2 linked regions of the Caenorhabditis elegans genome follow. The protein of the gene in region 1 purifies or fractionates together with the protein of each later gene. This does not show direct contact. Each region holds a gene or a part of one and is shown on either strand. Other genes may lie near its edges. The genes, in order: cup-15 and C03B1.2.

Region 1 (16,651 bases):
TTGTTTAAAAAATATTAAATTTATTGAATGTTTAAACTTCGAACCCTCGGCGTAAAAAAGAGTAAAAGTTGGCACACGCCGAGAGAGCTCACAAATTGTGTTTGCACCTGTTTGCACAATTGATTAACAAGTATAAACGACTGGATTTCGGTCGTGATTGTCGTTTTTTTTTTGTTCACTAAATACCTACTGGTTTGTAATTTTTTTTAGAAATTAATTTTTGAATGATCAAGAGAAAAAGTTTCAAAGCAAATGGAAAAAAATAAAACGAATAATCGTCCGATTAGAATGAGTCAAAACTTGACACTGATAAGAAAAAAGTTCAACCGGAAGCCTGTGGAAACTATCAAAAAAAGATCAAAAAACGTTCTCTTTTGGTGGTTTTTTTTCCGGAGAAGAGACGAAAGAGACGTCGTCGTCGTCGCCGTCGTCGTGTCCCTGTGCCCGCTGACTCACTTTTATTGTCAATGTGTTTGTATGGAAAATGGCAGGAAAAATGGAGAACGGGGGTGGAGGAGGAAACATGGAAAATGAAGGAAGAACGACGGTTCAGACAAAAAATCATAGAGAGCAAGGTGTTTTCAGAAACTTTCTCTAGAATAATTTTAAATTTCTCAAATTTTTAATTCGAAAAAAAAAACTACAAAAAAACTGAACAAGCTTCAAACTGGAAAATTAAGCAGATGAAATTTTTTAAAGATTTTCACGTCAAAAAACGGGTCCCCGGTCTCGAAACGATTCATTTATGTTTAATGCAAAAAGGCTTGCGCCTTTAAAGAGTACTGTAATTTCAACCTACTATTGTTGTGAAATTCCATGATTTTTTTAACGTTTTTCGTTTTTGAAAATATATTAATTTACTGAACAAAAAAAGACAACTATGAAAACTATGGAAAAAAAAATGAAAATTCCTTTTTGAAAGTTACAGTAACCTTTAAAGGTGCATAACTTTTCGCATTTAACAGAAATCTTTCGTGTCGAGACCGGGTACCGTACTTTTGGCGCAAAAACCGAAGAAAGTCGGCCAAAAATTTGATATTTAAAGTTCGAAGATCACTTTTAACAAAAATGAAATTTCAAACTGATTTTTAATTTATAATGTTGAAATTTAAATATAAATTTAGACAATTTCTTCAATTTAAACGAAGAAAATTTTAGTTTTATTTTACTATTTTAATTTGTGATAAACGAGGTTTTTACCAAATTTTTTTTCGCAAAAATTACAGATTTATTTTTTTGTTGAATTTTGTTTTCAAACTTTTGAAAAAAGCTCACCTTTCTCTTATTCACAACATTAAAAGTGATTTGCTGCTTTGCTTGCAGCATATGCGCATCGTCCTCGTCATCTTGACCCATTCTGCAAAATATGAAATTTTTTTAGTAAAAAATGTTGTTGTTTGAGATAGGTTCAATCAGAAAAGCAAAGAACGATGAGAAAAGTGATACAAATGACGTTCGTTTCATTGATACAATAATGGGTAGAAATTCCAAAAAATATATAAAGTATTTTGTAAAAATATTATGGTTTTGGAAACGAGAAAAAATAGATCAAACGATGAAGCTTGGGAAAAATGACTCGTATTCACACACAGACACCCACAAGAAATGACCAGTTTAGCGTGTGACTGAAACCGGAGACTTATTCCGCGTATTCGACCACCTCCAAGTCAATTACTCTTCATATCCCACCACCACTACTTTAACGTTCACTCATTTCCCGGTTCATCCTTCTTTTGAAATATGAGACCACAACTATTCGATTAATCTTTTGACTAAAGTTTCATAGCTTTTGCGTATAAATCTTGGAATGTGAATACCCGAATTTTCGAAATCTGCCGGTTTTTCGGTTTTCCGAAATACCAAAAAATCAAAAAATTTACGGGTTTTTCTAAAAAAAAAAATCTAAAAAATGCAACGTTCTTGTTAAATAAAAAACCAAAAATCGAAAAATCGAATACCGTATATAATTATAAAACACTTATAAATGGTTCTAAATTTTTTTTAATTTTGCAACAAAAATGTGCAATTTGAATTTTTTGGCAAAACTGAAAAAAAAAATTTCAAACTTCAAATTTATAAATAATTTAAAACCATTTTTAAATATATATATTCGTTCATTAGGACCAATTTTCAATAATTTTAAGCAAACTATCCATGGACTCCGCCATTAAAAATATATCCTTAAGGATATATAAATATAATACTAATCAATACAACTCCCACTCATCCATTGAAAAGTGCGGCAAGTGGGTGAAAATAGTGAGGCAGTGAAGATCAGAAAAGGCTTAGAGAATTAGATAAAGTGATGTGATAAAGGTGGTTTTGGATTGTGGATACACCGGAGAACAAATATTATGAAATTGGGCACTATTTCCGGTGCAATTTGTTTTCTAAAAATATTGGTGTAAAATATCTATGTTCAAAAATTTTATAAAATGAAATATTTAGAGTTTCCAAAGTTTCTAAAAAAAGTTTGCGGTGAGTCATTGAAGACTAACTAAACAAATTTGGAAAAATAATTGAAAAAGGCAAGGCATTTCTGTAAAAAACGCTTAAAATTTTTGAAAATTGCCAATCAATGTTTATATTTCAAAAGAAATGTTATATTTTTGGAAAGAAACATTTCTTTTTTTTTTGCAATCAATGTTAATATAAAACATTGGCTATGGCATTTAAATTAAAAATTCATTGTTTAAAAAATCTAGGTTCAATGTTCAGAAAATGAGAAATTAAAAAACAATTTTCGAGTAACGGACACATTGAACTAATTCCAGAGAAAAAATGGAACAGTGCCCCCGGGATTAGGGGCGACAAGTCGATGGATAGGTCGTTCTCTCTCTCTCTATTTTCAACGATATAGACAGAAAGAGAGAATTAGTGATTCGAGACGCAGATACACCATCATCCAAGAGAAAGAGACCGGGAGGGACGTACTTGAAACTTTCCGCCTGCACGCGGCGTGTCTGCGTCTATTAAACACCGCTCAATATATTTCGACTCTCTCGCTCTGTTCTCTTTTCCCGCATCATTATACACACAGCGGCAGTTGGCTGGTTGCCCTCTCTTCCCATCATCCTTCTCCCGATCCTCCTCTCACCGTTCTCTTATTCATCATCATCCTTAACCTGTTGTGCTGCTTGGTGGTCGTGGTGATGGTTAGCGCTTACTAATAAGCTCTTGGAACTCTTGAAAAATCTCGGTAGCAGCATCACACAAAAAATGGTTGTAAATAGAGAGAAAGAGACAACTATTAGCACTTGTCAACGATTTGCGGTTTTTTAAGAACCAGGTCAAGATGGTATTTACTGCCCACGCAAGAACACTTCAAAAATGAGGTACAAAAGAACAATCATTGAAAAAGCATGTAATAAGTTAGAAAAACCTAAAATGTTTTGTTTTGAAATCGTATCAACTTTACGGCCCAGTCACCGTGAGTACTCAAAGCCACAGGCGAGCATCAGAATGTCATAAACTAGAGATACACTTCCCAGGGCAGCTAGATAGAATACAAAGAACGTGTGTGTAATACATAAATTATGTGTGCACTCTTTGAAGTGAAAAAACACACATAAATTGAATGAGCAAACATCTACGTTCATCTATAATAGAGTCTCGAGAAGTTGTGAGTACAAGTGCACACTGATCAGATCACCTAACTTTGTGTATAACTGTCTGATCAAAGCGTTCTTTTCGTGTACTCAACCATTGCCAAAGATATTGATCTTTCTTGTGAGACTCCGAAAGTCTCGTATCTAGGTGTGAATCTATACCGGAAAAGGGATGAACAACGGAAGTTAATTTTACAGTCTATAAGAAGTGACAGGCGGAAATCCAAAAGGTAAAGATTTCAATAAATCCTTATTACTGTATATTATTCTGTTAAAACAGCTGGCTCTTTTTAATCATTCGCGAGCAGGTGTATAAATTGGACACTCCCTTTTTCAAAAATTACCGCCTCGTTGGACAGTTCTCCCCCGAAAATCTAGACTATTATGAATTGACGATCGCCTATGCCTCTTCCGCCACAATATTATCAAGAATGTCCTTAATTTGGATTGATTATTCCGAGGTATTCGCGGTGCGGCGCTGAGATGTTCACTATCATAGGACAAGTATATACAAAGAAAAGGAATTTGATCGCGGTAACAAAGACTGAAGACAAGATATGGAGTCAAAGAAATGTTTCGCTAATTTTGAACAATAGAAGAACTTACAAGTCAATTCTAGTAAAACAAAATGTTCAGAAAATATATCTACTTTATTTTTAAAATAGCCCTCTAGACATGTACTTTATCAGCAGTATCATCAGATCAGCTGGTCCACATAAAAAGTACGAAGGATCAATTGGGAGTAGAGTGATGAGATTTGGACGGAAAACAGCTGGTTTTGAAGGAGGAGGGAAACGAACATGTACACATTGACAAGAAGCGTGTGAATTGGTTGACGAAGAGAATTGGATGAGAAGAGTAAGAAAAGAGAAAGATGTTCAAAAGCATAAGCAAAAGGAAGTAGCAGCTTGGGAATGGCAGGGGACCAACGTAGTGCTCAATTTGTTGTCATTGTTTAGCTTTTGAAATCTCGAATGTATTAGAAAAGCGGACAAGGTGACATTCGTCGGCTAGGCTCAATAAGAGAAATATCGACAAAAAATGCACACACATTTCCTGCATTCGAGTGGCACCAAAAGGAGGTGCTGCTGCAGTTGCCGATTTGACAAACATGGAAGCCAAATTGACGAGAACTAAAAAAAGGAGAGAGGAAGGTATTGAGGGGAGTGTTGGGAGCACCGACGTGTGAATGAATGACTGCAGCAGCTTGAACACCTGTCTGGTACACCTGGTACCGGATATGGATGTCTCGGAATATTCCCAAGAATAAATTATCAGGAAATTACTTAGATGTCGTATTCGGATGTTATAAATGGCTCAGGAGGACTATTAATTTTCAATTGCAATGTTTTTTTTGTTGAAAAATTATTGCTAATTTGGAAGAAAAAAAGTGAAAGCGGTTGACTGGTGTCCATCCATCGAACAACAACTATTTACATGGAATGAACCCGACCGATAAGAAGGCTGCGCGCGCGCCGCCGCTTCTCCTCCGGACGATATACGCGCATCCCTCTGTGTGTGTTAGAACAAACAGTGTATCCTCCTTCTTGGCCGGACGGAGGAGAAGAACTCGTCGTCGTTTTTCACTTTTTCACCCGGATTGTTGGGTTAGAGCACGGAGAGCAGGAGCAACATGCGGTTAACAAGCTCGTTAGGACGGTCATTTCGGCGACTTCTCGTTTTTGTGGCGAGTGGAAGAAAACCAACATAAAAAAGTTCGAAAGAAACATGTGAGAAAGTGTCTGAATTTTGAGATAGATTAAGTCTAATTTGCGGGAGAGAAGTGTATAGATGGAGCATCTTCAGGAAATCGGAAAGTTAGAATTTTGGAAAGAAGAAAAATAGAGTTAGAAAATAGAAAAATAGAGTTCAGGCAAGGGAAATAGTTTGAGAAAAATAGATATTCGTGATGATAATTAACATCAAAATAATTTAAATAGAATTCGAAGTAATTGAATTTGAATTGCAATTTTATCACAAATATACAAAAAGAACAAAGTTAGCAAGAGAGCATCACAGGAAAGAGAACACAGGCACGTATTCGGCAAGGACTAGGTTTCGAAATTAAATTTCAAACAAATATAAGAATTGGATCAATTTGAGCAATTGTTATCGTGTCTGATGGATTGGTACATTGTATAACACAGAAGATCCTGGAGAAACACGACTAACAAGATCTGCATCCGACATTCCCGATGAAAGAAGACGTGATCTTTGGCCATGTGGATCTGATAGACGAGCATCTGAACGAAAATAATATAATATATTTCAAGGAATACAGAAAATCTTACATTGAATAAGACGCCTCGTTTCACCGCCACCCTGAATGTAGCTGGCAGCATAAAATAGAGCTGTGAGCAGCAATAATGTTCCAAAAGTGATCATAATTCCAAATAAATCACGATTTCTGTCTTGTTTTTCAGCACATTTCCACACATCATCCCATAAATGAATTGTATCGTTCATCGTAGTCTCCACGTCGACACAAAAATCTACATCTGGAGTTGTGTAGATTTTCCAGTAATATCCAAAGAGTTCGTCAAAGGTGGTCTTGCAGAGATTACAGATTTTACTTCCATTGGTAAGATTATCATCCAGTACACCTCCAGATGTGTAATTAACAACACAATTTCTCCATTCATACATTCTGTTCTGAAATTGCATTGTCCTCTCACTGAATGACACTTCCGATTTGTTTTGCGGAAAATTCCATTTAATTGTTATGCAGGCTGAAAAATGGGAATTTATGATTTTTTTTGCCGATATACTCACAGTCACATCTGGATTTTTCCCAAATTTCTGAAGTTAAAGCTTTTGATATATCCGTACTGTACGAGAGCAGATAATTGTCATAAATAACTTGAGAGCAAGTTCGATTATCCAGGGAGTAGACATTATTCTGTAATAAAATTCATATTTTATGTGAAGACGGTTTTAAAAAATATTGTTTTCAAATTATACTCACCAGGTTTTTTGTTTCATATTCAAATTGTTTGAAATTAATGTAGTTTTGAAAGCATTTTGTGCAAACTACAGGTGGAATTGACCAGTTTGTGGCGCATGCTACCATTTCCGATTGTACAACAGCTAGTTTCTGAAATAAAGATGTTTAGTTGCATTAAATACTTCGAAGAATCTTACTTCCACATATTTTTGACAGGGTCCATCCAAATCCCAAGGATCATCAGTGATCGGCGCTGTTTCGAGCCGCTCTTCTCGAAGAGAAATCACGGAAAATATAAGTAAGCTGCAGAAAAGTATCCTTGAAAGTGAATTTACCATCTGCAAAATAATTTTTATTAAAAAGAAAGCATTTTCTAGCTTTAATATAGTTTTAAAACTAAAATAAACAAACAAATAAATAAAAAACAAAATAAATGTTTGCCCGTAAATCCACACTCAAACTATAAACAACATGCACTGCGTTATTTCGGAGTCTCGTTACAAAAAATAAATAGTCACGTCCATTATTGTCTCATGTTTTTCAACAAATTTCTTTGTATTTACATTTTAATTTCTATTAAACTTTGATTTATTGAATAAATCTCAGATGTTGGCCCGTTCGGCTCGTCTTCTGCACTCGGCGGAGCTCGCCGCCAACGCCATTCGTGCTGCTTCGGGTACGTTTTTTAATTTTGGTAATTTTCCATCAAATATGGTACTTCGTGTGGAATACTAGAAAAATTAAATATAAATTATTTAGGAAAGCATTTTTTAACGAGAAATATTAGGCTTTACCCGAGATTTCACAAGGTTTCGTGTTTTGCACGTAGGCAGCACTTTTTCAACGTTACTATTTTTTAATAAGACGACAATTTTTTATGTTCAGCTTTATTTTGTTTAATTATCTTTGAATAATTTTTCTAACATTACATGAAATTGGATATGTCAGAAAATTATATTATGTCTTCAAAAACTAAAATTTTCCATTTTACACGTAGGCACTGAAAGCTGTAAAGCTCGGTCGTGTTATTAGATGAAAAACGCAGATTTTTTTTTAAAAATCAAATACTGTTCCGTAAATATTAACCATCATTCAAAGTTCTGTTAATTTAAAAATATCAGTTTTGGAATTTCTTGAATCAAAATTTAAAATTCAAAAAATTTGAGAAAAGGGAATTTATAAATTTATAGCAAGACTTTATAATAAACAAAAATAATGTTTTGAAAAACGTTTTTTTAATTTTGTTTGAGCTCAACGTTGCAAGAATAATATTTATCCCTTAAATTCACCATTTTTAACACTATTTTATTGGAACTGTTTCAGGAGCGCCAGCTACTGCAGCGGCGGCTGAAGCCTCTTTTCCATCAACTGATGATGTAGCCGCCAAGACCAAGAAGACCGGAAACCGTATCAAGACGTTCGAGATCTATCGTTTCAACCCAGAAGCACCAGGAGCCAAGCCAACTGTGCAGGTTGATTTTCAAAGTTTTTTTTCTTTTTTTAAAATTTAATAGTTATTGTAGAAATTCGATGTTGATCTTGACCAATGCGGAACTATGATTCTCGACGCTCTCATCAAGATCAAGAATGAGGTCGATCCAACTTTGACTTTCAGAAGAAGTTGTCGTGAAGGAATCTGTGGATCCTGTGCCATGAACATCGGAGGTCAAAACACTTTGGCTTGCATCTGCAAAATCGATTCGGATACCTCAAAGAGCACCAAAATCTACCCACTTCCACATATGTTCGTTGTGAAGGTATTGTTTTAGAATCTAAAAAAAACGAATAAACCTTTTATTTTAGGACCTTGTCCCAGATATGAACCTCTTCTACGCTCAATATGCCTCTATTCAACCATGGATTCAAAAGAAGACCCCATTGACTCTTGGAGAAAAGCAGATGCACCAAAGTGTGGCTGAACGTGATCGTCTTGTAAGTTTCAGTATATTTTCTGGTGCAGAAGTATTTGAAAAAGCATAACATAATTTTTAACTCAAAAAAGTTTTAAAATGAAAAACATTCATTTTTTCAAACGAAATAAAAGTCTAAAATCAATAATTTATTCATGATTATCACAACATTATAAAGTAATTTATATATTTAGGATGGTCTCTACGAGTGTATTCTCTGTGCTTGCTGCTCCACGTCATGCCCATCCTACTGGTGGAATGCTGATAAGTACCTCGGTCCAGCTGTTCTCATGCAAGCCTACAGATGGGTCATCGATTCTCGTGATGACTACGCCACCGAACGCCTTCACCGTATGCACGACTCTTTCTCAGCTTTCAAGTGCCACACCATCATGAATTGCACAAAGACATGCCCAAAAGTTAGAGTGTTCTCTGTTTTATATCTCGACTTAAACGAATTAATTTCAGCACTTGAACCCAGCTAAGGCCATCGGAGAGATCAAATCGCTGCTTACTGGATTCACATCGAAGCCAGCCGCTGAGCCATCAGCATTTTAAATAAGAAAATTCCATTGTTTTGCCTAGATTCGATGTAATATTTAGCTCTGGTTGATCGATTGTCGCTTCTTTTCGAAATACCCGAATTATCTATCCCCGTTTTCCGATGTCTATACCACGAGCCTCCTCTTTTTGCACAATAAACGGAATTGGTAGATAACTGTAAAAATTTCGTTTGATTAAAATATAAAAGTCCCCGAAAAACATTGCACAATGAACATTCATTTCTATCAATTCAACTCTTCCTAACCTTTTCGTGTTCTTTACTCTACCGACCCAATCTGAAACAAGTATGATCCTTTGTGTGTGTCTTCCTCTCCCAGGGTCGAGACAAAAACATAATTAGTTCGATAATATGATACTGACAGGTTGGCTTGACAAGTAAGATGAGAACAGGAGGACGGAAAATTAAGACGGAAAATTAATTACGGGAAGTTAGAAAACATTGAAACTACCCGGATGCTGAGAACAAAATACAAAGGTTGTAAATATTGACAAAATTTTTTGATTTTCAGTTTGAAAAACCTTTTTTTCTTTTGAAATTTCCCATGTCAATTGCAAGAACTTTTCAATTTTCTGCTTTCAATATGTTTTCTTCACTATCATAAAACTACTATCATAGATCTATTAATTTCTTAAAAATTAGAAAAAAACTTTCGTATATTATATGTACAGACTTCAAATTTTGTCATTTTTGCGCCGAAAATACGGTATCCGGTCTCGACACGACATATTTTGTGAAATTTCAAAACGAATGCCCTTTAAAGAATACTGTAGTTCCAAACTTTATTTTCGTAGATTTTTCATAGATTTTGATTCAAAAAAATATTTATTTATTTAAAAAGGTACTGTAGTTTTGGCGCAAAACACGGGTACGGTTGCAGAAAAGTTCCGCTCGTGCCAAGACCCGAGATAGTTCGATTTATTCGGTTTATCAGTTGAGCGATTCGACTCATAATTTTTTAAAGTACTATGGGATTTGTGTATTTTTACCCCAAATTGAAAATTAAAATTGAACTTGATATGTATGTATGTAGATCAAATTTTCATACTACTGTTATGGAAACATTGGAAGGACGTGGAAACGGAATTATTATTTCTCTATAAAGTATTGTATTTATGAATAAAGGTTTTAATCACAATTTCTCGTACAATCAAACTCCTCATGTTCATAAATATCGTACAATTTTGTTTTCTTGGTCCATAATGTTTTATAATATTACGTCATGTGCAATTTCATAAAGTTATTCGAACTCTTACATTCAATTATCAATTTTGGAAACAATCTGTCACCAAAAGGCAAGCCAAGACTCTCTGGGGGATCACATAACTTCATAAACTCGCCAAATTTCGTATCTTCAAACTTGTGTATCTTGAAAAATAAACGTCTAGGAAACAAATACTCAACTGATAAAATGTTTAAAAATATTTTATATATTTTTTGCATTACTTTACAGTTTTCAATATTCAAACTATTTGTTGAGTTACACAGAGTAAAAGCCATTTTACCAAAAATCACAGGAATTTTTGAGAACTCTTCTGTTGTACCAGTCATAACTCAACATCGATTGAGTTTCAGAAGTAAAATGTTAATGAATAATAATTGCAAGATATTTTTCCACATTTTATCAGTTAGAATTTTTTTGATATTTTTATGTTCAGCCAAGTTACAGACCGTTTTTCGAAAAAATATCGACTTGAAATTTTGAACAATGATCACTTTTTTGAGGTTTCTACAATGTCCTAAAAAATCTTTCAAAAATGTTGGCTCATCTCCAAAATCGTCCTCCGCTCTGAAAAAAGAAAGTGGACCTTTGCCTTCCGAAAAATGGACGAAAAAATGAAATTGAGCTTTTTTGGTCGAAAAAAATATTTTTAGAATGCTGAGAACACGTTAAACACGAATATCATGTTTATTTTGAGATCCGGATGTTCTGAAAACGTCTGACGTAGATTTAAAAAAGCATCGATTTATTTTCATTTTCAACGTGAAAGTTTTGTGCAGCTTTTAGATTTCAAAAGAATCTCAAAATTTAGAGTTTTGAGATTCTTTTGAAATCTAAAAGCTGCACAAAACTTTCACGTTGAAAATGAAAATAAATCGATGCTTTTTTAAATCTATGTCAGACGTTTTCAGAACATCCGGATCTCAAAATGAACATGATATTCGTGTTTAACGTGTTCTCAGCATTCGAAAAATATTTTTTTCGACCAAAAAAGCTCAATTTCATTTTTTCAGAGCGGAGGACGATTTTGGAGATGAGCCAACATTTTTGAAAGATTTTTTAGGACATTGTAGAAACCTCAAAAAAGTGATCATTGTTCAAAATTTCAAGTCGATACGTTGGATATGAAGAGTTTTATGAGCGAAATTGGATTTTTTCGAAAAACGGTCTGTAACTTGGCTGAACATAAAAATATCAAAAAAGTCTAACTGATAAAATGTGGAAAAATATTTTTTTTTTACTATCCAACAAAAATTTAATTCTGAAACTCAATGGATGTTGAGTTAAGACTGGTACAACAGAACAGTTCTCAAAAATTTTGGTAGATTTTAGGAAACTATCTTTGAATCAGTGTAACTCAATAAATCCTTGCTACTTTGTAATGAAAATTGATGCAAAGGGAAGAAAAAATATTTCTAATAGTTTTGTTTGTTGAACATTTGTTTTCTAGAACTATAGTTTTCGAGATACGTCAGTTTGAAGATACGCAATTTTGCGAGTTTTAGAAGATATTGCAAATGAATATAACCATTTTTGTACGTCAACATATTGTCTCACTTCTTTCTCTATAATTTTAACGGATTTCTCATGAACAAAAATGAAGTCGAGTAGTCAATGAGATTTCAACTCTTTCCTTTTTCCAATTTCCCCATCTCACTTCCGATCTCTCCGGAAACCTTTTCATCAGACTCTCCTGTCCATTGATAAATGACAAGTTGATTACACTGTTTTATTTATTGTAAATAAATCAACCTGATTGTTTATTTTCTAATGTTGTCCTATTTATTTTTTAAAGTGTCAGCAATCATTTCCTGCAAATAAGAAGACGTCAGTGTGTCTCAGAGAACGTTTTTTTCTGAATTGAATTTCATCTCGTCAGTGAACTACTGACACCTACACAACAAAATGTTGTCACGGTATATGTAGGTGGGCGGCAATTAGCATTTCGACCGGAGGAGAAACGGTTTCAAATATGCGTTTGGATGAAATAAGTGTCTAGGAATTTTTGGATGAATAATTGAGAACTCATATGTGAAAATCGAGGTGAGTTTTTGATGAAGAAGGCAGAGAATATATACAAATTAAAAAAACACACACATTTTCAAAGATGGATTATTTTGGAAATCCCATACTACAGCAGTAAGCCACATTCAGATTGAGATACGAGGCGCGTGTTCGGAGTGATCCTTCCACTGGAAAACGTGAAATTTCTTACAGGACTGATTGTGACGTCATATCCAAAAAGTTAGATTATCATATTTTCCAGAGCTCAAACGAGTCGAATGTGATATTGTGATAGAAAATGATATGCCGTTACTCCCAGTTGCTCAATTTTGGCAACTAATTTCTTTTTGGAATAGATGGAATCTCGGAAATTTCCGTTTTCTCAAAAGTACGTTCAATTTGAAGTGCGCTTAAATTTAATTCTTCACAGTAGAAAAGCTGTATCATACCGTAATTCAGAGGTGGCAGGCAGGTCCTAACTATAAGTTTTCATTTGCCCATCCAGTTTTATAGAGTGATGTTTTGAATAAGTGAGTAGCTCTAGTACGAATTGATAACTTTGAAAGGCATCATCCATAATTTTTGGGCTCCCTCAGCTTAGAATGTTTACCGAATTGTTTTGAACTATTTGGAAAATCTATAAATCTATTTTGCACCATCTGACAGCTTGAAAACTCATAGACCAATACACTGTATATTTTTAGCTCAATTTCCGGTAGTTTCCCCTCCTACACGCACTTTCACTGAAATGGTCATTTATGGTGTTCTTTCCTCCAGAAAACTTGTAATTTATGAGATATTTGAATAACAAAACCGGCGTAACTATGATGTATATCCCAATTCTTTTCCGCTTTTTCTTCATCTTAAAACAAACATTCAAGAGCGAAAAGGTGTTCCTAGAGCTCCGCCCACTTGAAGAACAATTGTCCATTTTCGGACGGAAAAGGGGAGAGAAAAGATGAAAAAAGTGAAAAAGAGAAAGAAGATGTGGGGGAGGAAGTGGGAGGAGCCTAGGAGCTACTATAAAAATCACCGAAAGCGGGGGAATTAGAGACAAAAGAAATTTTGATGAAAATGCAGAACAACTTGGTTCTACTTATCCTCTCGATTCTTTCAATTTTCGAGGTTTCGGCCTATTCAAATGTCGAAAAAGGAGCTGCAGCTAGAGCTAGGTTTGTTTTATTTTTTAAAGGTTCAGTGTATCCAAAATTTTCGAAAAATTAATCCTTATTAGTCTCAAACCTTACGATTTTCGTAGCAAATTTTTTTATTCTCAAAAAATTTGTTTTTGAAAGTCATATGGCTTCCATGGCTTCTAAATATGCCTTTTTTTGCCTACGTGCCTGCCTATGCCTATTTTTTATTTGGCATTAATTATAAAAATTTTTCTGGAGGCACGTATAAAACATTAAACCTCTAGTATCATGGTGGTTCAATTTCAGAGCCAAACTTCTGAGATTAGATATGAGGAATCATTTTTTCTAACGTATACATTGTATACATACTATACATAACAACAAAAAATCAAAAATTTCAAAATCCACAACCTAAATGTCTCACCGTTCCCCTTGTATTCCTTATCATCTTGTCAAGTTCATCTCATTGAACAAGACAACTAGCTACTAGTATCTATGGTTCTCAACGAAACTGAAACCAATTGATAAGAACCGGTTTTCAAAAAAAAAACTCCTTTTGCAGATGTTGGACAAGCGGGAACGGACGGCCAGCTCAATGGTGGCAGGAAGGAGACCAAGTGACACGTGGAAAATACTTTTATGAGTGTAGACGTGGACAGTTGGAGCCACTTGGATGTCTGTCAAGCACAGAGGAAAAGATTCCACTTGGACATACTTTCCAACAAGATAGATATGAGTTCATTTGCCAACTTGGTTAGTTTCGAGCATGGAAATTATACTGATCTGGGCAACTAGGCTTCTGAGAATACTATAAATTTTCAGTTGGAATTAAATTCAACTTTTTATTAGCTAGTTCAAATTCTTAATACCTACTACTCAGAATACCTAGTACTGTTTCCGTAACTTTTGGAGTCTTCGAGTTCACGACAGTGTTAAGAATAACTAACTTTCAAATTGTTAAAATATTTTAAAAGTAGGTATTCTCAAAATCGTGTCCATTCAAAAAAAAAACCATTTCTAATGTCTCTCATTCAACATCTTTTGTCGATTTGATCTTCTTTTTCCCCATATCATTGAGTACCCACATCTGATTTTGTAGAAAACGTATCAAATCTCCTTTTTTACGATTACTCTTTATCAGGAAGCGACGGTTATATCGAATTCGGCTACAGCGCATGTGTCGGCACAGATGGACGTACCTATCAAAAAGGAGAGACTTGGACCGATGCCAAGGTAAGAATGAGAGGAAAGTGAAAGATATTAAAACATGTGAAGAAAGTTGCAACATGTATCACATCCGGTGGGCGGACACACACAGTAGGGGGTTCTGCAATTTTTCTATTAACTTTTTAGTTGCCACTAAAAAAAAACGTTGATCAAAGTTTCAACGAAAGCTATAACATAGTTTTTGAACTGACCCAATTTTACTTTCGAAACTTCACTAATTTGATTCCAAACGAAAACTTTTTGACCTACAAATTCAAAAAGTGGAAGGCATAGTTTGACAATGCCGAGAAAAATCGCTGAAAATGTGGCACAATAATTAGAGATGAACTTTGAAAGTGTGATTTATTAAATTTAAATTGAGAGCGTGTTCGATGCAAGACTCATGCTTTCGTGCTCACAAAATTAAAATATTGTTAATCTACTTAGGAAGCACAAACCAATAGTTTCCAATAAAAACAAGTAGGCTTAAGGTAGGCACACAAACAGGTACTCTGATCGCCGATGTGCTTGCCCACAGTGATACCTAAAGTAAGTATAAGCTTGTTTTCTAGAGATCCCACATCCCATAGGTGCTATAGGCATAGGACAGATAACCGGCCTGATAATGTTTCTGATCCTTTGATCATTAAATGAAAAGAAGACATAATCGAATTGGTTTAGAAACCGAAAATTGTGTAGAGAAATTTTGAAATTTTGGTAGCTAATTTTCAATTTAATTTTAAACAGTTTGAGCAAGATCTAGTAAATTGATATTTAATAAAATAGAACAGACCCATTTGTCTTCAATCATAGTAGTATTCCAAGTTCAACTTTGACCACAACCCCCTCTACCCCATTCAACCACAAAAATACCTCTTCCAGAACACTTACTACTACCGTTGCCGTGACGATGGTCGTGTTGTCAAAACGACAATTGAAGGATGCATTGCCCATGATAAGCAACGACGTGTCCCACTTGGTCAGACAGACGATTTCAACGGATACACGTGAGTTCGCTGCCCCTAAATTTCGCTCAATGGCTTATCTCCGCTTATCCGTTGTTTTTACCGACATGGCGCCGCCAAGAAAAGTGTAAATGATAGGGTGACATATGATTTGAAGGCCACCCGAAATTTGAACACACGGGAGACAATATGAAGTGACACCGGTCAGACGGTTTAGCAGAAAAACGAAAAGGCAAAGAGTGGTGAAAGACTAAAGAATGAGTTTAAATAGATAGTGATAGAGATTGACTGATAGGGTTTTGAAAGATTGAAAGTGATAGATTGGATCTAAGGATCAAAATTGAACTGAAACCCAGATTACCTAATTGAATTTAAACTAATAGGAAAACTAGGGGACATTAAAACTGATGTGACAGCATTGTCAATTCAAGAATTTCCAACACTAGGTGAATCTGGCAGGTAGGCAAGAGTTACACGTGCCTGCCTTCGTTTCTGACGAATGCTTATTTCCTATTTGAGCGTAAAGTTAAGGAATTGACGGTTTCACACTATTTAAAACACTGAAGCTTGAAATCTAATCTTTGAATGCAAGAGATTGGCGGTTTCGCAGTAGGTACGAGGTAGGCGTAGGTTTTTCTGAAATAAGACATGTGGACTAGTGCTATCGAACGTATCATAATCTAAATTACAGTACTCTCGGGTACATTTTCGGTGATGAAAGATCAAAAATGATAATTCAAATCCTGTTTTTATGTCCTTTCAATGTTTTCATAGCACTTGGAAATTAATTGATATCCTGCAACCTTCAAATCCACCGTAATCCTATTTTCTCCCAAGTTGTATTTTAACAACTTTTTTAGTTTTTTTTTTCATTGATAAGGGCGACGGATATGGCGAGATTATGTGATAAAGTGACAAAAAAAACGGGTCACTACGAAAATGCACTCTTTTATATCTTATCGGTTGGTGTCTACGAGATACTTGAACTTTTGCGGTAGCAACTTTTTTTTTTAAGTTGAGACTTTGAATTCTGAAGAGTATGGAAAAAATATTTTCAGTTATAAATGCCAACAAAAAACTACTGGAGTCGTTCA
Region 2 (16,893 bases), on another chromosome or scaffold:
ATTAACGCTGCCGAAAGATGTCTTGAGCGCTCATTTGCTCGTCAATTTTGGGTCTTTCCCATCATCATACCATGTCTCCAATTAGAAACCGCACAAGATCGATTGTTTTGCAAGAGATGAGGTGACTCATCCACCCCATAAACATTCTCTGCATTTATTCTCAGCAGTTTATGTTTTGTTTTGTTATGACTCTGATTTTTGTTATGATCAATCTATGACCATTGAATTGTAGAAGCATAAACACTCCATATTCCTCATTGTTCCCACCTTTTTAATCACATTCAACTCGCGTAGCAATTTACTGTTTGCTTGTGCCTACACAAACACAAATCTATTGCTTGTCCGCTCTGCTCTCGTAGCACAACAAAGTTTTCATTTTCAGATCGTCGGACTCATTCTACACAATTGAACTATGTTGAAATCGTTTGTCATCTTGTTTGGTAAGTGAAATACTTCCTACGCAGAAATACAATAGCAATCAATCAATTTTCAGCCTTCCTGGCCTCCGCATCCGCCACCGCTTCGCATTACTATGTAACCAACAACAACACCGGACTCACGTGCATCATCCTCGACGGAGACTTCCAGTTCAATTTGGTCTTCAACGAGAAGAACACCACCGAGAAGTTCACGGTCACATTCAACGAGACAGTCAGTGTCGAAGGAGATTGCAACGGAGTCCGCAACAATCAATCGGTTCAGACGTTGAATGTGAGTTTTTGAATAACAACTTTAGGGCAATTTATAACTTGAAAAAATTTCCAGATTAAGTTCAACCCTGAAGGACAATCTGCCCGTTACGCCAAAGAGTGGGAGCTCGATATCGTGTTCGGATCATCTAGCAACGTCGCCTTTGAGATCATTGACTACACCCTCACCACTCAGAGAACGGATCTTGTCCCATACTTTGGAAAGTTTGTCAGAGACGCCAATGCTGCCGGAGATGTTACAGCAACTCAGACCAACGCTTACAAGGTAATACCATTTCTGCTATAGCATTTGGGGTCTTGTTACCACTCACTATTTCTTGCCTAACTCAAAAATTTTCAGTGCTCCACCGCCAAGCTTGGACTCGTCGGAGGATCTACCATTGACATCAAGACATCCAACGTGATTGCATTTGCACAGATGAACGGCACCGTTTTCCCAACTGACCAAGTCTACGAGGTGTGCTATTTGGATGCTCGCACCAACGAAGTTGTCCCAATCGTCGTCGGAGCCTGCCTCGCGGCTCTCGTCGTGGTTGTGCTCGTCGGATACCTTATCGGACGTGCTCGTGCAAAGAGACAAGGATATGCCAGCGTCTAAATCTTTGCTATTGTTGTGAAACTGTTCTTATCATCATTCAATCAAAATATTATCAATAGCCTTGTTCATGCTCAGAATCTGATGATTCTTTGTTTCCATTTCCTCTGTTGCAATGTTGTGCAATCATCCAACATTTCCTCTTTTACTTATCTCAGTTCTATTTCATTTTTCTGATATTCTCTTCCATTTTTCAAACGAGTAGTACCTCACGTGGTAGTAGAACACTGTTTCTAAGCCCGTACGATGACTTTACGTTTAATATCCTTCATCCCTTGTTTCAAATAAAGTCCCTCTCCAACCAAAATTGCGAAATTTCAGTCTTTACTTCTAAAATCAATATGTGCATTGTTATGCAAATATGAGGATACATGAATAATAAGATTTTTAAAAGGGTCTTTAGGGATTTCTGAAGTTTCAAGGAGTTCCAGCATGGGAACGGATGGATTATTTGAAGGCAAAGATCGGAGCTAGCTAAAAGTATAACAGAATAAAGTGAATTCTAATTAATGAGTTACTTACCGTGACGAAATAAAATATAAACATTACAAAATTTACCGTGACTTGTTTTTCACAGCTTTTGCATTAAAACGGTGATTTTCTAAACTCGAAAATGTAGTCCAATCTCGTCAAATGCTAAACTTGCCGAAATTGCAATTGCCAATTAGCAAATGCTGCGCCCCATGATTGAAGCACATATTTTCGAAATCTTAAAACCCTCTCTGGGATACCTATTTTAAAACATGGAAATTAACTGAAAAACTGTAGTTCTTTAATCAATAATCTTTAATCAATTTAATCATAACATGTTTTTTTCTAAGCACAGACGTGCCGGAATGTTGCCAAAACGGTATTAACAGTGAACATTGAAATGATTCATTTTTCATGTTTTTTTAAAAAAAATTTTTATTAAAATGAAAAATGACCACTGCTGAAATTTAAAAATTAATATTAATGACGAAACAGAATGACCGTGGCAGGTAAGTAAAAATACATGTTAAAATTGAACAAATCAAAACCAGAATAACTGTATAGAGACAAAACACACATGAAAAAGGTAGGATAAGTGATAATATATAATTAGATTAATTTATAGAGAAGTAATTTTGAGTGAAATTGGGGGACAATATAAATGAGTTTTTAAACCACAAGTGTGTAATTGAGTTTTTTCAACGACCGAAATTTAGATAGACATCACGACCTCGGGCTCCAACACAGCATGACTCGTCGTACAAGACTCTGAACCAACGCTCCACATCTTCATGCACCCATCCATTACGCTTGGCAAGAATCAACGCCAGCTGATAGTTACGTGGCAGATGAATTGGTGACACCATTCTCCAAAACCGAACGCCTCTCTGGAACTCCACCATGTTTGTAAGCTCAGCCTTCGCTTGACAGTAATTTCTCATGAGCTCGATTTGTTGCTCCATCAATGTGCTCGCGTCACTGCCAAGATTGTCAAACAACTGGTCAAAAACTGTATATTGATCTTCATCGTATTTTTCCTTGCCATCGACTTGCTCCAAGTAACGATGCGAGTAAAAATCTCGATACCAGATTTCGATTTTTTCGCAGGTCCACAGATTCATGCAAACCATTTGGATGGGAATCTTGCTATCGTTGGAAAGATTCAATGGATCCGCATTTCGGAAGAAGTTTGCTCCATCACGGAAGTATCCAGATCCACTTTTATTGTACACCTGCAAAAAATTAATAATTTATGAGCTCTCGCTTAATAACTGAAATCTGGAATACTCACAGACAAACAGTACTGATGCATTTTTATCATTCCTCCAATCAAATTGAAGTTTTGGTCCACATAATTAATCATTCTCCAGTATTCACAAACTTCTTTGTCATCCGAATGAGTTCCGGCAGGATCGAATAGCATCGATGATTGACGTTTTTCTTCTGATATGTCGCTGATCTTCATTTCCATCCGCTTCATCTTCAATTTATATGATGCAACGACTTGTTTGTATTGCTCAATTTCACGCGTCCAGTTCATTTTGGTGTTGGGTTTTGCACATTACAAGCTCAGCTTCGTACTGGTCCTTGCAAATGTCTAATTTTTTCTGGTTTTCCAAATCGCAGGCTTCGTGGTCTCTTCTCTCTTCATCAGTTCTCAAACGAAGTTGTTCAGGAGCGATAGCTGCAAGTTATTTGAGTTGAATTATTGTGAGTTACTTTTTTTCAGATTGGACTGGTAGCGCCTGTCTTTTTTCGGCCAATGTTCGTTCAATACGGACTCTTTACGGCACCACTTCTACTACATTGGGAACAATTATCATTTGGGCTCAAAGTAGGAGTAATGGAATGGGGTATTTCAAACGTATATATATAGATGCAAAATGTGCTGAAACGAACAAAAAATTGAAAATTATTATTCATTTGTTCAAAATATATTTTGGTTGTTCATCTCACGTATAATAGTTGATTTGAATACACTGATAAGTAACCGAAAATCACTGAAATTGATACAAAAAAAGATAATCAAATAAAACTTAATTTCAAAAACTTGCGAAACGGAATAGTTGGTAAAATATGAAATTTTAGAAAAAATTATCTTAATTTTTCAGTTATTTTAAACCGGCATAATATATTTTTGAAGAATTTTTGGGATGCCTCAGAATTCAGTTTATTTGAGCCTATTTTGCGTCTCTACGTTCAAAATTGTCCGAACCATTACTACTCCTTTAAAAAGTCGTGTTTTGAGCGCATTAGCTTCAAGAACTTATACTTAAGTCTACAATAATGTTAGTAACGGCAATGAAAAAGAATCCCACTCCACAAAAACATAAGTTTCATATATTCTTGGATGCGTGATACTTACTACTCAATGCAACTCTCACATGAATTTAAAAAAAATCTACATGGAAGCATACTTACTGGTTTTATTTCAACTATTACATATTTTACTACTACCAATAATTACTTACATCTCCTGACAGTTTTGACAATTTTTCGATGAAGAGACGAGAAAAGATCGTTTCCTTTCTCCTTTTCAGTATTAAAGCATTCATTTGGAGCAAGGCTGCGACGTCTGGATGACTTCACGGTTCTCATACTTTTACGAGGAAGGCTGTTGCTAGCATTCGCGGCCGGAAGCATTCTAGAATACGAATTGAAATAACAATGGTTAGAATTTTGAGCTCAGAAAAGTCACAATGGAGCGAGAGCAACTGTTGCAAATGATACGGTACAAAGCTGCTCTAGACATAATAGGCGGAGTTTGTCTATAGTATATCTGTTACCTTAGAGAGGTCACGTGGGCGTGGCTCAACACTGTTGAACTCTGTTTATTGCGTTATACTTGATTCTTTTACTGTGAGCGGAACCTGGCTATATACTTTAAAGTGGATACGAATGCAGAAATCATTAAAATACATCTTTATAAATATGAAGTATACGATTTCCAGGACACTAAAAATATGAAATACCATGAACAAATCCCCAATTACACTATTAATGTGAACGGAATAAAAATGAAATCAAAATGAAAAGAGCAAAAAATACTGGTTTTCAAATACAATAAACAAAATGTCATCTAAGCAACAAAAAATAATAATGGCTAAAAATAATATGAAAAGCCAGAAAACAATTATTCATAATGACGACGGAGAATTCCTTCTACATAGCACATTGGAAATTCACATTCCTCGCTGAGCATCAAGTACGTTTTATGAAGTGGAGAGAGTCGATCAAAGTCGAGAAATTTGATAAAAACTGCTTTTGCTAGATATATTGGGTTGGAAGTTTGCTTGTATACCTGAAATGTTTTCTGCGGTACCGATTCAATTCAACAAACTGAATATGTTCAAGTTAAACTCCAAATCTATGAAAAATCGGATACCATTTTACTAGATTTCAGAAGAGGTTTGCTAAATTTGGAAAATAAGAATCAAATTTTTTTTACATATTAAAAATATTAGAATTTAATTGTTTTCAAGTAACCATTTTATGTATTTCACAGCGAAGAGATTCGTCTGAGTGCTTTGGAATTCTCGAAACTTCGTGGTTTTTCAGTTTAATACATTTTGACAAGAATAAGTGAAAACGGGGAAAAAATTAATGTTCCGATCTTGACCCAAAACTCTTTTGATTATTCTGCATATATTTGTTTTTTTAGTGTTTATTTTTTATTTTTACTCAACAAAAATTTTTCTAAGAAGATTTAAAGTTATTGAGCTTTGTTAAAAGTTAGGTTTCTATTAAAATGGTTTTTCTAACCTCTTGATAAACTTCGATTCTTCCATTTACAGCTTGTTGCATCAGGTCTAGACAATCTGAAATTTGAATTGTTATGAGGTCATATATAACTGGATATTTTTCTAGAATTAAAAATAGTAATTTTTGTAAAAATATTTCAGAAATTCTAAAAGTACCTTGCTCCGTATAGTAATCATCATCCCAATTGTCAAAAAATGACTGAAAATCTTCTATCTGTCGCAATTCCTTCTCCGAGTATTCCGGAGCTGTAGAAGCGGTAAATAAATGATCCATCGTGTTTGTCTTCTTTTCCGGCTGGAAAATTGCATCTGACAATGCAATACGACTGTCTCGGCGGAGTTGGCTGAAATTTGTTCATCTTAATTATTTCATTTATCCCATGTTAAAAAAAAAATTAAATTCCCGTTGTTCAAGTTGAACTAATTATAAAGATTTCCGTAAAGGTAAAAAACTCTTCAATTGTTTTCATTAGTATAATCCATTTGCTCTAATTGACACATATCCTATCCTTAATCGCAAGTTGTTGCACATCATCCATACGTGTGAGGTCAGCAAAATTCCTATCCGTTACATGTTTCGTAAAATACACACAAATACAGGAGACTTAGACATTATTGCGCAACAATTGTCTGGATATAGGTGTTCAGTTTGCGGGTGCATCCTATGCGTTAGATTGCTAGCGGATCAAATTACTAATTGACTTTTTGAGCAGAGTAGACACTGTCTAGCATGAGTTGTATCAATATCAAGAGATCAACTTCTAAAGATAAGGGATTCTCAAATTTTATTTCTCAATTGTACCAATTTTTCAGAATACGTTTTTTTGTGGGCTTGGGTATATTGTTTTTTAATGTTATACTTGCAGTCGTGAAATTTGATTTTCAAATTTGTAGAAAAATCAAGAAAATAATTGCAACATTCGCTTGTGTCAAAAACCAATTTCAACAAATTTTCGTGTGAGAAATACATTACCAGAAGGCATTTTTTCACACGATTAGCATTTTGGACTACTTTATTAAATTTTTGCGTGTAATTTTGAATTAAATTGTATTATATTACTACTTAAAAAACAAAAAATTTGACCACTGAGCGGATCGAACGCCCAACCTTTCGATCTGGAGTCGAACGCGCTACCATTGCGCCAAGCAGTCATGTTATTCTCTCTTGTCGACAGCAGTGATATGGACGACCGCTACGAGTGAACCGAGTAACAGCATAGCGAGAGACCCAGGCAAAAAAATTTGTCAACGTTTCTTCTTTTTTTTCCTGCTAGACTTATGTTAGCTAATGCGAGGCAAACGAGCGATGATGTATTTTTTAAAAATAAAAGTGATGTGTAGAAAAGCATAATTCAAGGCGGTGATTTACCTGTGAAAAATATTCTACTCTGAAAAAAAGTTATGTTCTAGACTATTCTTGTGGTGCTAACATAATCAAATTCCATCATAAATTTTTTCAAAAAAAAAATTGAATGTTTTTTGTTGTTAAAACAGTGATAGCTCAGTTTTCAATTTTTTGTTGGAAGTCAACGATCAATAAAAAAAAAGTTGCCTTCCAGTTGTATGTTCGAATTATGTTTGAAATATTCATATTCCAACATTTCATGGGGCTGAGAGAATACTTTAAACGAAAAGTAGCGCAAACACAGTTTTCACCACTATTTGACTTGAAATTTTAAAAATCCAAAATTTGTTTAAAATGTTTATTATGATATTTGGTCATTTTCGCATCATGGATAAAATTTTTATAATTTCTCCACTGACCGTACCCTCCTTTAATGTGACCAATTTAAAGTTCTTCAAACCAAACATTGCACTAAAAAATGAATAAAAGAAACCAATGAGAACCCTCGCGCCAGTAAAAAAAGTTGCAATCCATTGAGACGGAAAGTTGCAGAGGTCTGGAGAGTAAGTATGTGCTTTGTGCTTGAAAGTACACTATTATTAGATACGTTTCATCTAATGTTGATGTACTATGCTTCAGCACCAGGCACTTGTGATACATAAACATTAGTTGAACAAAATTCACGATCTCTAGCATGGAAAATGCTGCGTGAATGTTGTAATTAATTATATATCACTGTGGAATATTTTTGGAATATTGACTTCCGTCTTCCATAGATGAATAAAAGTTAAACTCACAAACATCGTTTCATATTGTACATTCGTTCCGGGATTTTTGCTCTTTTCACTCGACTGGGTGTGAATTTGACAGAATATCCACGTGATGTCTGGCAGCTGCTCGCCGGAGCTTCTGGAAAAAAGTAGATTACTACCGGAAATAGCAGTTTTTCATAAAGCGTCTAAAAAGAACTCTAAAAAAGAAAGAAAAGTCTTACCGATTACCCAACGGAAAGTTCTCTCTTGTTTTGGCGGGTTTGGAACTTTGAAAACAGCTTTTCCGGATTTTATATATGTATGTTTTTCTTCCCAGATGCGTGCTTGTACATTCTGGAGCTTCAATTTTTTCTCGTATTTTTGAAATAATTGCTCCATATTTGGTTCTGAAATAATTTATTTTTAAAATAAGAAAAAAAGCAAAAAAGTGGACAGCTGCAGACAAAAAAGGTGAGCACAGGACACATAATAATAGTTGATGACGAAGTAAAAAATATATATAAAAAAAGAGAGAAACTGTGTACTCTGTGTTCACTAGCTGCTCTTTTTTGCCAAAAGAGGAAATGTTTATTAGGGCGGCAAAAAGAACGACGACGCCTCTAAAGGTTTGAAATGGGTAAGCCATGCGGAGAGCAAATCACGGTGTATAGGGTGGAGCCACGGCTTCTCTTTCTCGTTATGTTCTTTGAGTGGGCGATACGTCGCAAACGAGAGAACATGGAAATTGATGTTCTTGGATGAGCTTTCTAATTGAAATTATATGTAAAAAATCGAAATGCAATGAAAAATGTAAAAATTTGTGAAAATATGTTTAAGCTTAGATTTGCTCATTTTTAATTGAAGGAAGACTTAAAACTATCACGACAAATTCCAAAACAGTAAAAATGATGACGGAACTCTGTTTTTGTCCATTAAAAACAACAATTCTTCTACATTGAAAAAAAAGGTGCAAAGAAAAGCAAATCAAAAATCTTTCAAGACAAAAAATTCCAGTACAGAGTTTACTTGGGCTGATTTCTGAATTAAACAAATGTATGTCATTGGAAGATAAAATTTTCAGATTGGTCCCTATAATTAATTTATCCACAGAAGAGTACATTGAACTAGAAAAAATTGGTCTGAAAAATTTGCAAGACATTTCATTCAATATAAAATGAGTGGTTAAAAATGTGACCGAATATTAGAAAAACGCCCTCGAAAATATTAAGATTTTTCAAAATTTTCAGTCGAAGTTTTGGTAAATTGTGAAGTTTGGCAATTCTTAAGAAATTTAGAGCATTGTTGCATTTTTAAACCCATAGAATATTCGAAAACCAACTATTTTAACTCATTTTGACTGTAGTTTTAAAGAATTAAAAAATTTGTTTCAAAATTTTGCTGTAACGTTTGGGCACCTTTAACGTAGCTTTTATAATGTTTTATATAGGATTAATTGAACACCAATTAAACCATAAGCTTTTGCACTCAAAATTTTAAAAAAATACATAAAATGTATTTTGAAGCATTTTCAGAATTACATAAGGAAATCAGGAATCCAGTTCAGACGTTTCAAAAATTCGTTTTTTTACAACTTAAAATAGAACATTCTAGAAACCACACAACAAGCCTCTTGAACTCTTGAATCTGTCATAAACATTTATGAATTCAGAGTAAAAAAGAAACAAGTTTCAAAAATTGGCGGCGTGATCTTTGAACATTTCCCTAAATAAAGCAACATTGGCAGAAATTCAGATGCGTCTAAAGTGGTGTACTATGATCAATATTAAGTCGTCTATATTCGATTAAAACACTACACATCTGAATGATCTTTAATCTATTTGAAAGAAACTTAATGAAATGCACAGCAAAACGCTAAAAATGTATGTAGAGTGTAGTGTAAAAAATGAGAGGAGCACAGCTGAAAATAAAGAGTGTGTTTCCTACTTTACTCTTCATTTTCACCTCCGACTTTTCCTGGTTCACTCAAATATTCACAACTTCAAAACGGAAACTTGAAAACTCATCTTTTTAAATTAAATAGAATGTAGCCAAACAATGGAACTGTTGCAAAGTAGAAAATGAAACAAATAGACCCAAAAATGCTCAAAATAATTTTATTACTTTTTTATTGGGAACAAAAAGATTGATTCGATCCACACTTTTCTCTACACAAGCGTAATCGTTAGTCGTGAGAGCACCTGCAATGTGGTCAAGCTGGAAATTGCATGCTGAAACTAAAATCTGAATGAGGGTGTCAAATCAACAATTCTGGCATTTGACAACTTACGTTGGAAATACAGAAATAAATTTATAGTAAATCAGAAATATATCAGGAAGTTTAAAGAAAGGCATCACAAATTAGGACGACAGATATTTATGATGAAACGTAATCCTCAAAAAAAAGTTATGGCAATTCAAAGTTTTCACAAAAAGTTCCGTTTTCCGCTAACACCTCAAAATTTGTCAGTTTTATACTGTCAAATTTCGCTGAAATAAATTTTTATACATTTTCATTCAAAAGATTTCATTTCCAAATTCGTTACTTTTCTCAGCCTAAAAGAGCAATGAACCATATTTCGCTATTTTAACGATAATCCCCAAATTTTTAATGCTCTTTGATTTCAAAAGTGCACAAACTATCTTGAAACCGCTAATGAACAACAAATAACAAAAAACAAAAAGTAGTTTTAAATTAATAAAAATTGATTACCAGCCGTTGTTACAGAAACAAGTTTACAAAATTTCAGATATTTGACCCTGTAGTATTTTGAAATTTTTCCTGCCAAAAGCATTTTTGATAAGTTTTTCAGATTTCTCATTCTGGAATGGTCATGTGGGTCCCATTATGTTTATAATAAGAATGCAAACCGGTCATATTTGAAACTTAATTATTTTTTACCCTTTTGTTATTAAACCTACTACAGTAAAAAGTTCGGTGCTTGTGTATTATGCCCCGCCATTTTAGAAATAAATCAAATTTCCATCAATTTATCCGTTTCAATTAAACGTGATACCCGCTAAGCTTAAAAATGATGTTTTCCTAAGCCTAAAAATTCAAAAAAAATGTACACTTTTTTATTTTATAAGTTAAAAAATTAATTCTTAAAATGGCGGGGGCATATTACACAAGTACCAAAATTTCCAAAATTTCCAAAATTTCTAACGGGGCAACATATCTGAGTTTGTATTAAAAATTAAATTGTGAAGATGTTTGCTCTTGTTTTCTCACCTGCCTAGAGTTCAAATATTCGAAACGTGTTCGTTTATATTTTCATTTCAAAGCATATATCTGTGACAATCTATTCAAGGAAGCATTTTTCTGGAGAACTCTGTTGTAATTGCATACCCGATGTTCAAAATCTTAAACACAAAGCCAGAAACTGACGGAGCATTTATTTTGATTAGTAAAAATAATTATCAGAACACGTTCCAAGAAAATTTTGATCGCTAAAATCTATACCGGAAAGTTGCATAATGTTATTTGCTTAAAAATAAAATTAAAATGGGAAACACTTAACAAAAATCAAAGTTAATACGGACAGTAGAGATGATAGTTAGGAGATCTACAATTGAAAATTTTGAAACAGTATTGGTTAGCCGCTCATTTTCTGACGGCAAGGTTCTCGTTGTTTTTCTTCTTTTGTTGAACATTGTTTCCACTCGGTTTGTAATGTATGATGTAAACTTGAAGATTAGGTGATACACCGCAGACTGAAAAATGTTGAATTACGCTCAACGTAACATTATAAACTGAAAACTGTTGCCTATTAGTTTTGTATTCCTAATCATTTTTCAGGAAAAAACACTGAGTGAAGCACTGATTAGGAAAATAAAAGATTTATAAGTAACAATCTTCTACGTCTATTTTCGTAATACTTTCTATAAACAATAAGGCAATTGTGAATGTTCTAAAATGTGTTTTATTCATAAATACCGTCAATATAATGTTAATATTTTCTCATCTAAACAAAACACAATTTCAAACAGTAAAATAGTAATTAAAATCGTCTATGTACTTATTGATTTAGTTGTTCGAGGAGCTACCTGACAACTTGTTTTGATATTGCTTTTTAGAATTGCCGGTAGTGGAGAGATAACGGTGTAGTTCTGGACGACAGCTTACAAACACATATTCTTTTAATATATTGGCAGTGTCAACTGTTCTGTCTCAAAAACCTACAGCATGCCCAGTGATAATGTACTTCCCCAGAAGCACATGATTCTTTTCCATTCTCATCTTGCGGGTAAGTTATTGCTCTAATGGCGACGCGTGTCATATTGAAATAACATTCCAGAACTCTGAATTCACCCATATGAGCACTGATTCTCTGAGCATCGATGGTCGCGTTTGGATACTTTCGCTGAATTCGTCCCAATATATGAGACAGCGTCAGGTTTAGAGGAATGATAGGTGGCATTTCTGGAAACTGGTAATCATTATCATAATAAATGTTAAGAATTCCATGTAAAATAATTCTGAGATATGTCAAAACATAGTTACAAAATAATAAAAAATGGAACAGGCTTTGTTAAATGTGTTAAACATGATTTATTACAGTCGATTAGCACCAATTAAAAAAAACAACTCGTAAAATGCATTCAAACTGATATCATGTACGGATATGAATGTTAGAAGTAGTATAGAAAAAAGTGCAAGGCAAATTGAATTCAGATGGTAATATACAACAACGTGATATTTCAGGATACAAATAAAATCAACACGCAAGACTATCAATTTTGAGGGAATATGAAGCGCGAAGCTCCTTCTCCAAGAAATATCCGTCAATCCAATCTCGATTGGCTGCGGAGATAAGAAGCTGATGATCCAGATCCAAGTGCTCGAATTTCAGCTTGCGGTAAAAGTCGGCACGGGCCAAGTAGTATGTGTTCTTGCTCTCTTGGTACTCCTACAATATATAGAATACATTTAAACTATTAACACATGCTTATTCTCAAACCTGGAGCAACTCCTCAAAGCGGTCCTTTATGTACATTTCGCAATCGAGCTTTGTTTCTGGAACAATTTTTTTTGTTTTCAAAATTTTGCCAATTTTTTTTTGTTTCCAAAATTTTGTCAATTATTATTTGTCATTTTTTGTATTTACCCGACATCAAATGAGGCATATCCTCGATGGAATCTTTCATGCTGGTCAAAATCTGGTAGTGAACAACGGCATCCTCTGGTTGGAGGTCTGGGTCAGGATGTGGCACAAAGTAGTTTTTTGGTACGACAAATCCTGGCTCAACGGTGCCTTTGATATCAATATACTGGCTGTAGGTAATGTCTTTCCTGAAACAAACTTGACAAAATTATTCTTATAAATTATTCTTATATTAGGCGGTAACTGTTCTTTAACACTTACTTTCGATGGGAACTTTTATTTTTCAACGTTTGAATAGCGATTGGCTTCGGGCTATAATTCACCCAGGACACAATTTTTTTCTCGTCGTCTCCGGTCCCTGGAACAAAAAATTCTAATTTTGAAGAAAACAATGCATTCTTGGTTGTAGATATTACGGCATCTTTTTGGCAACCGGAAATCAGTTTCCCAATGTTTTGCTGATTGTCGAACGTATAGTTTTGTTTAACTTTTATTTTGGAGTGTTTTTGAGCAAACGTTTTTTCAATTACAAAACGGACCATATTCAAAAAATCTAAACTATTCAAGGCAAATAACAAAGATTTTCCCCGTTTCAAAACTCACAGAAAGTCCAGTGGTACGTGATACTTCTTCCTTCGAACACCACTTCTGATTCATCTTCAAGTTTCGGGATGGGAAGAGTAAGAGCCCGGAGAACAACGTTGGTCAATTTGAAGCGATACTCAAAAGCTTTGAACTCTTCCATATGCACATCAATGTCTTCTTTTAAATCAGTAGCGTCTGGATACTTTTCGAGCACTGTTTTCATCAGGGTCTCACTGTCCGGGAGACTCATGATTTGAAATAAAATGCTAACTTGTAACAATGAACCTCAATCAAAACGATGATAGAACTGAGAGAAAATTTGGAAAAAATGATGAAAGCTGCTTTGATGAGTGAAAATGAAGCATAGATGTGAAGAGGCTATGGTTGTAAAGGGGCAATGGTTGTGGCGCATATACGTAATACGACCTTATGTCTGTACCGACTGTGAGCACAATTTGTAAAGAGATTTAGAGGTTTATTGATGTCTGTCTTTACTGACACGACATAAAAATTACAAATATACCCTAGCCAGGTTCTGTTTTATATTTAAAATCCGGAAGGTTGCCTATACTAATATCTTGAAAGTGAAAGACAGGGTGACCAGCGCCATCTGATTTTACGAATCAAAAATATTTTTGCGAAGCATAAGAACGACCTTGAGAGAATGTTTGAATTTGGAACGGAATTTTTTGGAGGTTTGAAAAATGGAAGTAACAAAGCGTGAGATAGAAATACGCTAAGCAGCATATCCATAGATTTTGAGCTGCAGGTATGTAGCATTTGTTAATGAGTTTTAGTAGTCGCATTGATTATTTCTGATATTCGGCTTGATGTAAACTAAATTTACCATAAACATGAAAAATTAGAAGAAGAAACCACGTTTTAAATATTCAACCATTAACCTTAAATTGAGAAAAGTGTGTAACAAATGTGTGCTTGCTGAAAGGAAGGGAGAGACAAACGCCCTCATCACACTGAGCATGTAGATTGCGAGTATCATTGAAGGGGGGCCATGATGGGCGCGATCACGAGGCGCGACACAGTCCTCGGTTATCTGCCGTTGGGAGAAAGCACACGAGAGGCTGAGAGAGAAAAGAAACAAACGGGGTTGGCAATGTGCCAATTGGGTCCGCATGAATTTCGTTGGCGGAGACTGAAGGATTACATAACAGTACAAGTTGGTTTTCGATTGCGTTGGAGAAAATAGGTATAAGTTTAAAGTTTAAAGCTTCAGTTTAACCTGGCTTAGCACACCAAAATTTATATCACATCTCTATTAAATATAATAAACATTCTAAAAACTCGTCATCGTTGTGCCAAATCAATAGAAAATAACTTTACAACTGATCACTAGATTTTAAACTACACTACTATTTGATGAGAACATCTAGAACACTAACTTGACTTAACTAAAATCTCTGAACACCGGGGAACTGCAGTCAACTCGAGAAACACCGTCTGTTATCATAAATTCTTAAATTCAATCATCCCATCAAATGTGAATCATAAAAAACGGAATGGAAAAAAGAAACAAAATTATAACGAGACTTTTTGTTGAATAGCATTCAAATCATCTATCTTAACTTCAGTAAATAATTGGGCGGAAGTTCTCAGAGTTGACTCTCTGAGTTGAAATACTCTGTATCCAATTACTATTTTTGAAAACATAAAATCTTTTTACTCCCTGTAGCGGTCGTTGATAAGTAGTTTCCAACTAGATTAATTTTCAGTTTCCAAGAAGAGTTTTCAATGCTATTTATAAATGATACCTGACAATCTCAGAAAGGATTGTTATAAATGAAAATGCTGATAGTGCCAAAAAAACCTTAATAATTAGCCTTTCATTCAAGTTCTGGTGAAAATAATTAGTTGTTGTTTTAGATCCGTTCTGTAAATATATTTGATAATTTTTGATAACTTTTTTTTTCGAACAAATTTTTTTCGAACCCCTTACAAATAATTTCAATTTTTTTTTTCGAAAAATAAAAAAAAATCATAACTTTCTATAAGATGTGATCAAATTTTGAAAAGTTTCCAAAAGAAATTGTGTATTAAACCCGCGCCATTTTAAAATTATTTACACTTCCATAAATTTATCCGTATATATTAAACGTGATACCCATTTTTCTCGTTAGGCTTAGGAATGGTGTTTTCCTAACTAGGGAATGGCCAGCTTAGGGGTGAGGTACCTAGAGACGCCACATATGCCAAACGGAAGCTGAGATCATTGGCTACAAGAATATGCTTTCAAATTCTGCAACGGACCTCTGGGAGTCTGGAAATTCTTGTCTGAAATTATGCTTTTGAATGCTCGAAAGTGGTAAGAATTTAGAATTTATTACAGAAAAACGTTTAATTAATAAAATTAGTTTTATACTTGAAACAAGTACTGTATGCACTGTATCAAAACACATTTTCATCTTTTCTAGGTATTCAACTTCACGTTTTTCTGTAATAAATTCTAAATTCTTACCACTTTCGAGCATTCAAAAGCATAATTTCAGACAAGAATTTCCAGACTCCCAGAGGTCCGTTGCAGAATTTGAAAGCATATTCTTGTAGCCAATGATCTCAGCTTCCGTTTGGCATATGTGGCGTCTCTAGGTACCTCACCCCTAAGCTGGCCATTCCCTAGTAAGCCTTTAGATTGGCTGACCCAATTTTGTTATCGTGGACAATCTTCTCAATTACTCAGAACCGTATTCATCTAACTTTTCGGAATACTCGGGTAATCTTTATGCTCCCTGTAGCAGTAGTTTATGAGTAGTTTCCAACAAGATTTTTTTTTCAGTTTCCAACTAGAGTTTGCAATGATATTTATAAATAATGCCTAACAATCTCAGAAAAAGTCGAAGAAATGAATAGAAATGCTGATACCGACAAAAAAACGGTGAAAATTTCTAAAGTTCAAGAAGAACGATTTGTTACCTCTTCGTCGTTTTTCAAACCCTGAAAGAAAAGCAAGCTATTAAGCAACAGAGCACAGAATTTATATGTCACAAGAAGAGGCTACAAATCATGTCATTTTAAATGTTTCGTGAAAACTTGTTGTTGTTGGGCTACATGCGACACAGGTACCATTGTCAAACACTGGCCAGCAAGATGTCGACTGCAAATATGGATTATATATAAGCAGGACTAGCTAATTTTTTTGCTTCACAAACAACTAACAAAACCAAAAACGAAGATACGAAAATATTAAGTGATAAGTTTCTCAGCCGATATTTTAAGATTTTTTATACGTGCCTAGTTTTAGAGGAAAACATCTGAAAATTTGAAGTGTTGAATCATCAGCGTTAAAAACTTTGAAAAAAACAAATGGATCTATAAATCTTTCTTGCACTGTTAAATATTCGATAAACTCAACAAAAAATTATGCTTTCCGTTCAAACGTCAAAGCTGTTAAATTGCATGTGACTTGTAATTTAGTATATTTAATATTATTAATTGAAACATTATTTATTGATATCTAATTCAAATGTTAGAATTTCAACAATGTTGGCGAACAGATATTAAATTATTTTCCTCCAAACTTTGGTTGAAGGGTGATGATTCATGTCAAGTGTAAGGTC

Evidence for each region.
Region 2: the proteins of cup-15 (region 1) and C03B1.2 fractionate together in Caenorhabditis elegans (co-fractionation; one large-scale study listed by BioGRID). This does not show direct contact.

Annotation. Positions count from the first base shown.
Region 1 is NC_003280.10:9,343,239-9,359,889, reverse strand, and holds cup-15 (Coelomocyte uptake defective protein 15), read right to left. Parts: upstream 6,891-16,651; coding exon 6,750-6,890; intron 6,703-6,749; coding exon 6,574-6,702; intron 6,508-6,573; coding exon 6,381-6,507; intron 6,338-6,380; coding exon 5,900-6,337; intron 5,852-5,899; coding exon 5,718-5,851; 3' UTR 5,563-5,717; downstream 1-5,562. Other genes in the region: mel-11 (cGMP-dependent protein kinase interacting domain-containing protein), read right to left, coding at 1,276-1,356; sdhb-1 (Succinate dehydrogenase [ubiquinone] iron-sulfur subunit, mitochondrial), read left to right, coding at 7,159-7,228, 7,876-8,024, 8,076-8,309, 8,356-8,484, 8,657-8,881, 8,931-9,020; F42A8.1 (uncharacterized protein), read left to right, coding at 13,325-13,422, 13,949-14,139, 14,528-14,619, 15,475-15,599, 16,616-16,651. UniProt on the Caenorhabditis elegans protein: Modulates the transport of substances from the endosomal to lysosomal compartments. Plays a role in lysosome formation and function in coelomocytes.
Region 2 is NC_003284.9:6,361,174-6,378,066, reverse strand, and holds C03B1.2 (uncharacterized protein), read right to left. Parts: upstream 8,051-16,893; 5' UTR 8,034-8,050; coding exon 7,877-8,033; intron 7,792-7,876; coding exon 7,680-7,791; intron 6,692-7,679; exon of another isoform or gene 6,603-6,691; intron 5,882-6,602; coding exon 5,694-5,881; intron 5,595-5,693; coding exon 5,539-5,594; intron 5,078-5,538; coding exon 4,910-5,077; 3' UTR 4,684-4,909; downstream 1-4,683. Other genes in the region: LAMP family protein lmp-1, read left to right, coding at 413-440, 494-711, 766-975, 1,051-1,308; C03B1.1 (uncharacterized protein), read right to left, coding at 2,475-3,008, 3,068-3,316; C03B1.17 (CHCH domain-containing protein), read right to left, coding at 3,300-3,460, 4,248-4,419; C03B1.3 (uncharacterized protein), read right to left, coding at 11,236-11,345, 11,815-12,052; C03B1.4 (uncharacterized protein), read right to left, coding at 12,350-12,541, 12,593-12,648, 12,740-12,924, 12,998-13,094, 13,340-13,571.